Neurospora crassa OR74A: one gene and its partners. The protein of the gene in region 2 purifies or fractionates together with the protein of the main gene of each other region. This does not show direct contact. Links are inferred from orthologs where the notes say so. Each region holds a gene or a part of one and is shown on either strand. Other genes may lie near its edges.

Evidence for each region.
Region 1: the proteins of NCU02587 (region 2) and NCU05523 purify together in Saccharomyces cerevisiae (affinity purification with western blotting; 4 studies listed by BioGRID, with this or other methods). This does not show direct contact. The link is inferred for Neurospora crassa OR74A from reciprocal best matches to the Saccharomyces cerevisiae genes TFB3 and TFB2.
Region 3: the proteins of NCU02587 (region 2) and NCU01580 purify together in Saccharomyces cerevisiae (affinity purification with western blotting; 5 studies listed by BioGRID, with this or other methods). This does not show direct contact. The link is inferred for Neurospora crassa OR74A from reciprocal best matches to the Saccharomyces cerevisiae genes TFB3 and TFB4.

The regions. Positions count from the first base shown.
Region 1 is NC_026506.1:1,624,971-1,629,049, forward strand, and holds NCU05523 (transcription factor tfb2), read right to left. Parts: upstream 2,787-4,079; 5' UTR 2,439-2,786; coding exon 2,315-2,438; intron 2,231-2,314; coding exon 849-2,230; 3' UTR 515-848; downstream 1-514. Other genes in the region: NCU05522 (PaaI thioesterase), read left to right, coding at 3,143-3,181, 3,239-3,279, 3,349-3,364, 3,430-3,610, 3,729-3,794, 3,875-4,044. UniProt on the Saccharomyces cerevisiae protein: Component of the general transcription and DNA repair factor IIH (TFIIH) core complex, which is involved in general and transcription-coupled nucleotide excision repair (NER) of damaged DNA and, when complexed to TFIIK, in RNA transcription by RNA polymerase II.
Region 2 is NC_026501.1:2,825,183-2,828,887, forward strand, and holds NCU02587 (RNA polymerase II transcription factor B subunit 3), read right to left. Parts: upstream 2,123-3,705; coding exon 1,034-2,122; 3' UTR 512-1,033; downstream 1-511. Other genes in the region: NCU02588 (nuclear movement protein nudC, variant 1), read left to right, coding at 3,016-3,028, 3,123-3,334, 3,460-3,705. UniProt on the Saccharomyces cerevisiae protein: Acts as a component of the general transcription and DNA repair factor IIH (TFIIH or factor B), which is essential for both basal and activated transcription, and is involved in nucleotide excision repair (NER) of damaged DNA.
Region 3 is NC_026502.1:3,029,957-3,033,944, forward strand, and holds NCU01580 (transcription factor TFIIH subunit Tfb4), read right to left. Parts: upstream 2,538-3,988; 5' UTR 2,219-2,537; coding exon 899-2,218; 3' UTR 537-898; downstream 1-536. Other genes in the region: NCU01581 (hypothetical protein), read left to right, coding at 1-536. UniProt on the Saccharomyces cerevisiae protein: Component of the general transcription and DNA repair factor IIH (TFIIH) core complex, which is involved in general and transcription-coupled nucleotide excision repair (NER) of damaged DNA and, when complexed to TFIIK, in RNA transcription by RNA polymerase II.

The DNA of each region.
Region 1 (4,079 bases), on a different chromosome or scaffold from region 2:
GGAGTGATGGAAGAGACTACAGAACAAGAGCATAGTCATTTCGCTCTAGATATTCATGGTAACAGGCATGGTCGGACTTCTCTATAGAGTATTTTCTCGGTTTCCGACCTCATCTTACCGCTTCACATACCCAGGGTAAGAGGCAAAGGTCCGGCGTTGTAGAGGGCAGTTCTGGCATTCATTGATGCCTTGAACCTCATAATGGTAACGCAAATAAATGGTAGTTAGTCTTGTATTGACATTTCTTTCAATGATCAAACTTTGAGTTTCGGTACAGGTGCAATTGCCGCCGAGTATGATCAGTCCCTCGCCAATACTCCTGTCATTGAGCCCTGTCAGCTAGGATGGCGTATCAAGAGGTGTATATCACAAAGATGTGTAGCACAGTGAGCAGGCTGATTTTGTTCGAGCACCCTTTTTCCAATCTCTTCGGTCTCGTATAGTACGTCTCCCGATGACTTGAAGCGTTGTTCTCAATCGAATGTCAAAAAGAGGTTTGCATGTGTATGATCATATGAAATCGAGTTCTTTGTTTTGTAAGAGGTCATCCCTATTTCGAGGCGACCATTACCTCGTATTTTGAACATGGCCCTTTCTTACCCCCAACTCCTGTCTACAGTATAAGCTAGTAATTGCGTGATGCCAAACCACCCACCCAAGCCAGAACTCCTTTTTTCAATGCAAATGTTGATCCTGCCCTGCCCACAGATGTAAAAGTTTTACGATGCAAGACCCCATCGCCTACCCATTGCATCCACCCACAAGAGGTACCTAGGTACTTGGGTTCATTCCAACCATACTGAACCACCCCCGAATCCAAACCACCCTCTCTTACAAACCTGCCCCTCTTACTCCCCCTTCTTCCGACTCTTCAAATAATCCCTCAACTGCTCATGCTTGCTGGCAAAAAAGAGCTGCCTCTTATCATTCTTCCACACTAGTACGCCAATCTCCTCCGCATACCTGCTCAGCGCCGCGTACTCCTCCGTGCTCTCAAAGTCCTTGAACAAGAAGCCCGCCGTGGTCTGCATCCTTTCGTTCTCCAGCTGCCAAAGCCTGATCTGGTCCACCACCGTCGGGGGAAGCACCGGTTTACCCGTGACCGTGGCTTCGCGCACCATTTGTTGATGAGCATGCGCGTGTAGGTAGGAAATGATTTGGTCGGCGGTGATGCCGAAGCCGATTGCTTGGCGGATGGAGTCGCGGGTTAGGCGGCCCGAGACCATGTTGGGGAAACGCATGTTGAGCTGGCAGAAGAGAGCCAGGACGGCGATTTGTAGCGGGGAGGTGGTGTAGGCGTAGATACGATAGTTGGTCTCGATGATGATGCCCTTGGCTGCTGTCTGTGTTTTGTCGGGGGTGGCGGCGGGGCCGCCGCTGGTGCTGGTCGTGGTGCCGGGCTCGCCCGAGGGGTTGGCGGTTGCGGCCGTGAAAGCCGAGGAGACGGTGCGCAGGGCCGAGGCGGTACTGGTCAGTGTGGTGGCCAGGCGGGTAGGGAAAAACTGGCGCGTGTCGCGCGGGAAGTAGATGAGCCCGAAGTCGACGAGCGAGGGAAGCATATTCCGCCGCGTCTCGGTCAGGGCCGAAGTATCGTAGGCAGTTCCAAGCTCAAGCGAGCTGAGCATGAAGAGGAAGGAGAGCATGTCAATGCTGTCCATGCCCGAGTCGGCCGTGTGGTCGGCTGCTTCGAGCCAGAGGAGGAGGAGCGTCCATACTTGGGCGTTGGACTCCTGGAGAAGGAAGGTGAAACCGGCTTGCGTAATTCCGATTCCTGTACGGGTGTCTGGACGTCGTTCGACGAGGCGTCCGGCCAAGAGTAGTTCCTTCACACTGGCCTTGGGTCCGCTGACCCCTTCTGAGCTGCCGTGGACCCCAAGACTGTTGACAACGTAGTGGAGGATGTCGTCCCACTTCTTACGAGCGTACCTGTCCAGGTAGGCGATGTCGATGGAGGGATCGACGGGAAGAGAACTAGGGACGCCAAAGCTGCCATCTTCGCCGCCCCCTTCGAAGGCTAGTTGTAGGCCTTTCTTGAAGCTCGCCGTGATTTGGATTTCTTGGGTTCGGTCCTTGCTTGGTGGTGAGACCTGTAGGATGTGGAGGGATCGGAGAGCGGCAATGGTGCGATCGCGATGTATCTTTCCGCCGCCCTCTGGAGGGAACCATATGTCAAGGGAGGTTAACGGGAATGGGTCGGGCATGTACAGTAGACCTCGGACAATAACCTTGGCTATCGAGGGACAAAGGAGTTAGCTACATGCTATAGATTCGGCGTCCAAGACTTCGGTATCTGACTCGAGGAACAATTGCATACCATGATAAGACAGCATACGGCGGAAGATGGCCAAAGCTGTCGCTGGTGACTGGTACAGTCTCCTAAAAGCTGTACCTGGCAGCTTCTCCAAGTACTCGAGGAGCTGTTGTCCGCCGAGTGACATGGTGGATAGACGGGCGGGCACAGCGGGCCGCTAATAGAGATTCGTTATCGCTATGTGAATGGCAATGTGAAAGGTCAAGTCGAATATTCGGTAAACGTAGTGCTTCGAATGTCGTCAAGTCCAGATGGCTCGTCGAGAGGATCACGATGTAATGCTACTGGTTGACTTCTGCTGGCAGATATGGGGACCAAAACCAACTTCTAGGTGGAAAGTGTTATATCGACGGAAGTGTGATTTATGATGAATCGAGTATATGTTTATTCGGTAGGTACCCAGGGAATCGAGCGATAATGGTGTAGCCGGTGGCACTTGTGGGTGAAAGGCATAAGGTGCAAAAGAAGACCTTGAAGGCTGTTGATGATCATTGCGTTGTACGCGCGCGAGGATAGGTTGCCTGCCCCGTGGTGCCCTTGCAGGTGGTCACCAAGCATAAGTGGGGACTTCGGACCCTCGTGGCAGGCACTACCAGTCCCTGTTACGACGTCACCGTTCCACTGTCCGGCATTTGTCTACCGTCTCCCGGGTCGGCCAGTCTGCTTCTAAAGCCACTGTAACAGCGCCTGTCCCGGGTGGTGATTTCCGGCATTCACAGCAGTGTTCCGTCCCCAAGTCCACCTAGAGGTAGTCCAGACACCGCATCTGAAGCACACCTCGTGTATCCCTCTTACATCGTCTCCTATTTCGAGGTCAACAGCAACAAAAAAATGGCACCCAAGCTTCCACCAGCGAGATTCGTGAGATCGGTTAGTTCAGGAACTCATTTCACAGCTGCATTGACTCGGTTGCTTACAGCATGTTAGGTCCTGAAGTCGTTCATGGCCGAGTCCGGCCTTGAGCCGAGGTAAGTGATGACACATCACCATGGTCTGTCAAGAAGAGATCAAGACATGAGACTGACCAAATTTTACAGACTCCTCGGACCTCATGTAGGCAAAAGACACCACAAAATTCCATGGATACAACGAACATGTAACTGATATGACCAAACTAGCTCCGGGTAACCGGTGCCACCGAAGGCAAGGTCGACTTTGAACTCGACATCACCAAAGACCACACCAACCGTCTAAAGATCATCCACGGCGGGACCATCGCCAGCATGGTTGACCTTGGTGGTTCTCTGGCTGTAGCCTCGAAAGGACTCTACGCCACCGGTGTGTCGACGGATCTGAACGGTATGTTTCCTTCCTTCCATGAGATTGATTCATGCCTACTCGGACAAAAGAACTCCAGCCCAGTTATGTGCTGCTTTCCGCAAACACACAATACTAAAATGTATATGAAAAAACTCAGTTACCTACCTTAGTAGCGGTGGGAAAGTCGGCGAGAAGATTTCCGGGACCGCTGTGTGTGACAAGAGTAAGTCTTTCTTCCTGCCCCTTTGCATCAGCAACATGAATTATTGACATGACTAACCTTCATCATCAACAACCAAACAGTGGGCAAGACTCTTGCCTACACCACCGTCACTTTCCGCAACCAAAAGGGCGAGCTATGTGCCCGTGGTAGTCATACAAAGTATGTCGCCAACGCCTGGAAGTCCCAAAATGGGACTGAGCTCTTCACGCCTCCGGAGGGAGCTGTGATTGCCGAGGATGATGTGGAGTAAAAGTCATGAGAGTCAACCTGGACATAGGTGCGTAT
Region 2 (3,705 bases):
GCGGCGTTCCTTTTGCTTTTTGTTTTATTTTCTTTTATTTTGTATTTTTTGAGCTCAGCTCTTTTTTCTCACCCGCCTTCGTTATTCGATTCGGCAATCCTGATCTTTCGGTATTGTTGCCGCGAGTCTTCTGACGGTGCCCCTCCTTAGTCTACCGAAAGGACAGCCAATGTTCGGGTAAGCAGGGCGGTTTGATGCTCGTACCTTCGAAATGGGTGGCAATAAGGCAGTCAAGGATTGACTGTGAAGAGATCAGGCTTTTTTTTCCGCCGTCGAGTGCTTCTTAACGAGCAGGGCCAGATACAAGGCTTAGCAGCGCAGCGCAAGGGGGAGGGGGGAAGAATAGTTGGAATGGAACGCTACATAAAAACGGTGGAATGGGGTCCGGGCATCTCGAGATAAAGGAGTGAAAGAGGTATGGTATGATAAATGGTCATACCATCAAAACTTTCAGGATTGGCTGCCAACACTCTCTCCAGGAATGGCCAGCAAGGGAGGCATACACATTTTTGCAGTAGGGAAGCCTGGAGGCTCTTTTTGTTTGGTAAATCTTAATCTATATATTTTTTTGGGCATTTTTGTGATCAATCGACGCACTCTTATTAGTCTGAATTTCTTTTTCTTCTTCTTTTCTCCATCATCATCGTCGTCCCAATCCCTCACACAAAACGTGGTCTTCAGTGACCTTGATACTCCTTACAAGTAGACAGATGGCTTGATGGGTGGCAAAGAGTAGTGAATGTACTGCAGTTCGCCAAGTTCTGTCTTATGTGGCTGCTGGACTGCGACCATTCGCATAATGAATTTCGAACCCAGAAATCCACAGCAGACCCGAATATTTGCGCCCTCTAAAACCACCGAGTCTGAAGTTGATCTATATGATGCTGGTCCCGCCTCATGTGTGTTCCTAAATCCAGATCCGTCGGAGAGGAAAAAGAAAAATATTCAATCGCTGAGTGAACGCCGTCGCTATGCAACAAAAACACCATTACCGCCAACCAAAAGGCCGGGGCATACCGGTCCAGAACCACTCTCAGTCCAAATCCATCTTATCCGCGTCAACCACAGCGGCGATCCCCGCCGCCATGCTCGTCTCTTGTGACAGCCCAATACCACTGCCGACCTCCTTCTCATCCTCAACAAACACACCCAACCCAGCAAACGCTTCATACAAGGCGCGCGCCGCAAAGTCGTCAAAGCTGTACCCACCAGCAACGTGCTGTCTGTCCAACCGGTACTTCTCCATAAGCGGGTGACTCAAGCCTCCATGTAGCTTGTACCGACTAGGCGCGAAGTCCATGCCTCCAAAGGGGTCGTACGGGCCCTGTGGCGCCGGCGCCTTCGGCTTCTCCTTCAAGCCGCGGATGGACAAACGCTCAACCTCCGACGCGCCCGTGCCCATTCCCGTTGTTGCGATGGCAGGGTTGGAAGCTGTTTCAGCAACCCGATTCACCTGCCCACGCCTCTTTAGCTGTACCTTCGTCGCCGGCTCCGCTGTCATAGCAGTGGTTCCCTTGGCCAGGTTATCCAGCTCCATTTCGCGACTCCTCACCCTCTCTCTTTTCTCCGCCTCCGCCTCCTTGATAGCCTCAATCCTCCTCTGCCTGACAGCATCCCTTTCGGCTGCCAGCCTCACTCTTGAAATCTCATCCGCCTCCCTCCCCGCCTTCTTATTCCGTTCAATATCCGCCCTATGCTCCGCCTCCCATGCCTGCAATTGCGCCTCCGCCTGCCGTCTCCTCTCATCCGTCCCATTGACAAGTTCAAACGTCAAATCTTCCACCATCTGCAAGTAATTATTATAATCCTGGAGCGTCTCAAAGTCGTCCTCGACTTGGTTGAACACCGCCGCCACGCGACGGCGGATGTCGACCTCGCGCTCGACGGCCAAGTCGCCGAAAAAAGCCGAGCGGAAGCCCTTGCGACGGAGCGTTTTGTTGCAGCCGGCGTGCGGACATTGATTGGGTCCGTCGTTGAAGAGTCGGTTGGCACAGTTGAGACACATGGAGTGGTAGCATTCGGGGTTGAAGACGAAGACGATGTCGGGGTTGAGGTACTTGCGCGATTTGCAGACGGGGCACATTTCGTCTTCGAAGCCGAGGGGGTCGAGAGGGCGCGCCATGGTGGGTGGTTTCTTTTTTTTTTGGGGGGGGGGGGGGGGGGGGGGGGGTTGTTTTGATAATTTCGCTTCGAGGAGACGGGGATCGATGTGCTGAAGTGGGATTTCCAAAGGTTAAATGATGGCCAAGAGAAATGTATGCTGAATTATAGCGAGGAGTGGGCGTTTCCCTTCGAAGGGACAGTAGTCCGTATCTGAGAACTCGGGACGTCTCTTGATGTGTCGGTGAGTGAGTGGCGATCGCGGCCCAAATCTTCTTTTATATCTGTTTGGTGATCGTGATTTGGCGACGAGGACTTGTACTCGTCTTGTTAGGTGATGAAATGTTGTTCTAAAATGCCAGCTCGGCTAGGCAGAAATTCCGGGTCACGCAGTCATGTATCAACGGTGGATAGGGAAGGTGATGAAAATCAACCAAGTGGAAGTCTGGGTGAAACCCGAGTGAGATTGACGATGTGGTGAAAGAGGGACTGATAAGAGTTATTATGCTTGGGCTGAATAATCCTTGTTTCCACTTGGCCCCCAACCGCGCCAGCGCTCCAATGGACGCTACCCTGGCGGTGCAGGGTGGGGCTTCCCAGATCATTCACAGCACGGCACTCTGCCGCGCTCATCTGGCAGCTCTGTCTCAGGGGACTGGACGCGGGCAAGCGTGGGGTGAGCAGGGGCTACCAGGGCAGTGACAGCAGCCGCTCGCGGGCAGCTCCTAGGATTGGGATTGGGCGGCCGCAGCCGTTCCATGCGGGTTACCTGCCCCTCCAGAAATTCGGTCATCGCGTTCAGGCGCGTTCCATCGTCTTCTACTTACATTACCGCACATTGCACCACTGCACCACTGCACCAAGCTGCCGTCGTTGCCCAATATCTACACCGAATTCAACAATACCACCTTCAACATGGCTGACAAAGGTGCGTTTTAGAGCTCAACTCCTCTTGCTCCCAAGACCAGAAAGTCCATCCGCCATCAACAGGTCCCACTAGTCAACTGACCAAACAATGTCAGACGTAACAGAGCTCACCCCCGCCGAGGAGGCCGCTGCCCGCGCCAAGGAACAAGCCGAGCAGGAGGCTCTCCCCTACAAGTGGACTCAGACGATTGGCGACGTCGACATCACCATCCTCGTCCCTGGTAACCTAAAGGGCAAAGATATGGTGGTTGAGATAAAGAAGCAGTCTCTTACGGCTGGTATTAAGGGTCAAGAGCCCGTCATCAAGGTAACCAACCTACTTGCCCACATATCTACAAATCACAACCCTTGCAACTTTCCAACGCCGCCTATACCATACCACCCAATGTCGCATGCCGAGTAGCTCGATTCTGACACCTCCCACAAAACCAGGGCGACCTCCCCCACCCGATCCTCCTCGACGATTCAACTTGGACGCTGTCCCCCGCTCCCGCCGGTCAAAAAGCCCTGGAGATCCATCTCGAAAAGCACAACAAGCTCGAGTGGTGGCCGCACGTAGTCACCAGCGCCCCGAAAATCGACGTGAGCAAGATCGTCCCCGAGAACAGCAAGCTGTCGGACCTCGAGGGTGAGACGCGGGCAATGGTGGAGAAGATGATGTACGACCAAAGACAAAAG
Region 3 (3,988 bases), on a different chromosome or scaffold from region 2:
ATGATGGAGACGACGACAACGACCACGCAAAATTCGAAAAGATGGATGTCGACGAGCCGGAACCTGAGCCAGAATCAGAGCCGGAACCATCATCAAAGACGACCACCATGGGACAATCATCTTCTAGCAAAACCCTCGATCACGAGGACGTCACTGATAACGACGAGGACGAAGATGAGGTCCTCAATAAGACATCTGACCGCAACACCCCAGACCGCGACGACGATGACGAAACAGCCAGTGAGCCCGATGAGGAGGATGATGGGACTGTAGAAGCAGGGGACAAGGATCTTGATGTGCCGCCGCCTCCTTCACCGCCGCCTGCTAGACGACAACGCACGGCTGCGGCATCCTCGACAGCGACGACAACCCCTCAGAAAAAGACGACGGCTTCTGTTGTAGGAAAGGGAAAGGGAAAGGAGACGCTAACGCCCATTTCCCATACTAAGAGGGCCGGGGCGACGGCTACGAGAGCGTCTCAGCCTGCTGCTGTAGTAGATGAGGGGAGTGAGACTGAGTCTGATGATGAGTTATGAATGGACGGTGGACGTTGAACGCGAGTCGGGGGAGCATGATGTAACGATGGATAATGACTAGACATGTCCCCAATAACAGGTATCGATGGCTGAATCCTATAGTGGGAATCCATGTCCAGTAAAGTGATATTCGCAATAAAAGCTGTTTTATGGGTATTAGCACTGCATGTCAGACTCTATGTGTATATGTAGTTTTCCAAGCCTTTTGTCCGCTTTCGGTAGACATCCCACGAGCAATCTTGTGGGCTTTACCACTCCCTAGTCTCTAATCAGCCTCTTGACTGCCTGGTTCCCCGGCCCAGGACAAAAGAATCATCCACCATCAGTTACCTCTTCACTCTATTCCATACCTCGCTGAAGACTTATTTCAGCATCGTCCCTTTCCCATTCGCCTGCCCCCCTCCAGGAGGAGCAGCAGCCTTTGAAGGCAGCACAGGTAACTTCCTCCCGTAATTCCCCAACGCTAACTTGGTGCCGCATGTCAAACACTCCCCACCCTCGGGCACCTCGCAAAAAATGCTCAAGCAGATACTGCACACAAACCCCGTATCAATCACGTTCCGATGACAGAAACACGCCGCCCGGAAATCCACCGAGTCCGCACTAGGGGTGACCAACAGATCCGCCACGCTAGCATTACTCCCCAGAAACTTCTGGCCTCCATGCTTGGCCCCTCCCTTGGCCGCGGCGCCAAGGGCCTTCTCGCTCGCCTTGTCCTCTTTCCCCTTATGTCCCCCATGCTGCTGCTGAGACCGCTGGTTCCCTGCCGCCGCCAACCCCTGTGGCGCGCTCCCGCTTCCAAACCCAAACATCAAGTACTGCAATAGTCCCCTCGGCTCCTGCGCCCGTATAAACGTGCCGCGCGTAATATAGCTCGCCTGCTGCAAGAACGTTGCACTACCCCGCAGCGCCAGCGTGTCGATGGCAATGCGCGCGTGCGCCGCCGCGAACACAGCATTCATGGTAGGGATGTACTGCGAGGGGGAGCTGTCGCTTACGCTGACCACCAGGATGCGGGCGTGCAGGCCTGCCAGGCCGCCACCGCCGATGCCAGGGAGGGAGGCTGCGTTGCCGCCGCCTGGGCCGGCGCCGGAGGTTGTGGAGACGGAGGACTTGCCGCCTGCGGAGGAGGGGGTTGGGCCGGTGGCGGAGTTGGAGGGGGCGAAGAGGAGGGCGGTTTTGTTGATGTGCGCGAGGGCGAGGGTCAAGGCGCCGGAAATCTGGGTGGTGGTTGTAGAGGTGATGTCCTCGGTTGTGGTGTCGGTTATGAGAGATCGCAGGGAGGAGAGGAGGGAGCGCTCGATTTGGGCGAAGAGGGGGTATTTGTTTGCGGGCGGTGGAGATTGTTGTTTACTTGTGAAGGAGGCGTCGCGCATTTCGATGTCTTCGTTTGGATTTTGCGGGTGTCGGCCGGGGTTCTGGTCGGGTGCTGTTGGGTAGAGCCATACTGCCCGGTTCGTGTGTGATGCTATGAGAGCTACTTGGTTGGAGTTATTGAAGGCTAAGTGGGAGTTGACAAATATTAGAATGTTGGCGAGCGCTTTCGTGAGTGGGAGGACATCGTTCAGGGCGGCCCAGGCGCGTGGGTTGGTGTCGATGATTATGGTATAAAGGGAGGGGATATCATCGGTGTTGTAGATTTCGTAGTGTTCGGAGGCGTCGACGGCGTCCTGGACCGTCATCTTGACGATGATCTGGCAGGGACAGCCTCAACTCGCTTCAAGGTTGTGTGTGTTGTAGAGCTATATCGTGGATCGAAGCCAGTTGGTGTACATGACGTAGGCCTTTTGTCGCCGCGATACTCAGTGCGCCGGTGCTCGTAGGGAGCTTGTCTGGATGCTGGATCGAGAGATGGCAGGATAGCTAAGCGGGCGCTCTGTTGTGTGATATTCGTTATAGTTGTTGTCTGGATTGGTTATGTCTGCTGAATAGGATTGACGCGCCCAAGAAGACCTTCTCGTCGAGAACACTGCAGATGCGATAACGTAACGGAGAAATGCGATAACGATTTCGGGGTTGCAAGCGAAACGCGATCCAAGTGAAGGCCAAAGGATCCTGGTCCAAGTGCACACGCTACCACGTGATACCCGATAAGGCAGATTGCCGGCATTTTCCTTAGTGGTCAAAAGATATGCAGTTAGAGCACTAACATGCAGTTAAACATACAGATGTAGTCCAGTTCTCGCTTTCCTATTGGTCAAGATATCCTAGCTCCTCTATGTACAATGATATCACCTTCATCCGAACATGTCCTTCATCTCTCATCTTATTCTTCTCTTCCTGCTGTGTCCGATTCTAGTTCAACGACCCCAGCATTACCACCAAAACAGCCGGGTGATGAACACGCAAGCGTGCATAACTTTTGACACCAACAGCGAGGTCATCTTTTTCCTTTGATCCATCCACACCATCACATGTTCCCTTTTCGGTTTATTCACATATCGTACGAGGATCTCCTTTAGAAGGATGGCGCAAGACTGTCAACCGAGAGTGGCTTAAAGTCACCGGCTGTGCAATTCAAGGTGTCCTTGGTCTGTAGTCGGGCTCTTATTGGCTTAGGGGTTACCCCGGTGACGACAGCTTTACGTTGGAAGCCTATGGCCAAGACTATCATCGATAGGTATTGTGAGGTTTTGAGGAAGAGAAGTACAAGTATCTAAGGAAGGGGCAGCCAGGTAGGTAAGGAATAGACAAAACTGAAGCTCAATTTAAGACATTGTTCTTTCCATGCTCTCGCAATATGTAACTGCCTTGATTACTCCCGATTATCTACCTCTAGCACTGTAACCACCACCGAATATTCCCCTATGGTAAGTTGTTCAAGTTCCCGATCTTATAACACCCTTCACTCATACATAGTAGACACAGGAATCTTTCAAGGCCGGCGACATTATAACCCCGGTAGCTCTTCCAGATCAAAGAACAGAAAAGCGAACTTGTCTTCCGAGACAATAATTTACCTTCCAGAACGACGGCAACTTAGTTCTTCATGAATATGCCGAGCCCAGGTGGAACTCATGCGGTCGTCTCTCTATGGACAAAGTGGACGCTGGCTTGTTTCGACCAGTAACGGCAATATGACAAACAGTCTTCCCGGTGGTCATCTCGAGCAAGATGCCGACGCACCGGAGGAAACTATAAATCAATAGTCCAACATGACGGTGCCGCGGTGCCGAAGCTCGATGGAGTCACCCCTGGACCGGCGTTAATGGAGGCTCGGCACAAACATACGAACCCTGTGATGTGAAGTCTCTGAACCCTACTGCTTTTCCTAGAAACAATAGTTCGACAACCGCGCATCCACCTATATCCGCGCGGTCGATCTCAGTTACCGCGCCGACCACGTCCGTGGTGGATCCCCGAGGAATCCTGTCTTTCCCCGGTCAGCGAGTTGCACTCATCTACATCACGGACGACAGCCAGGGGTCGGCGCACCGGGGGGGATATCACGT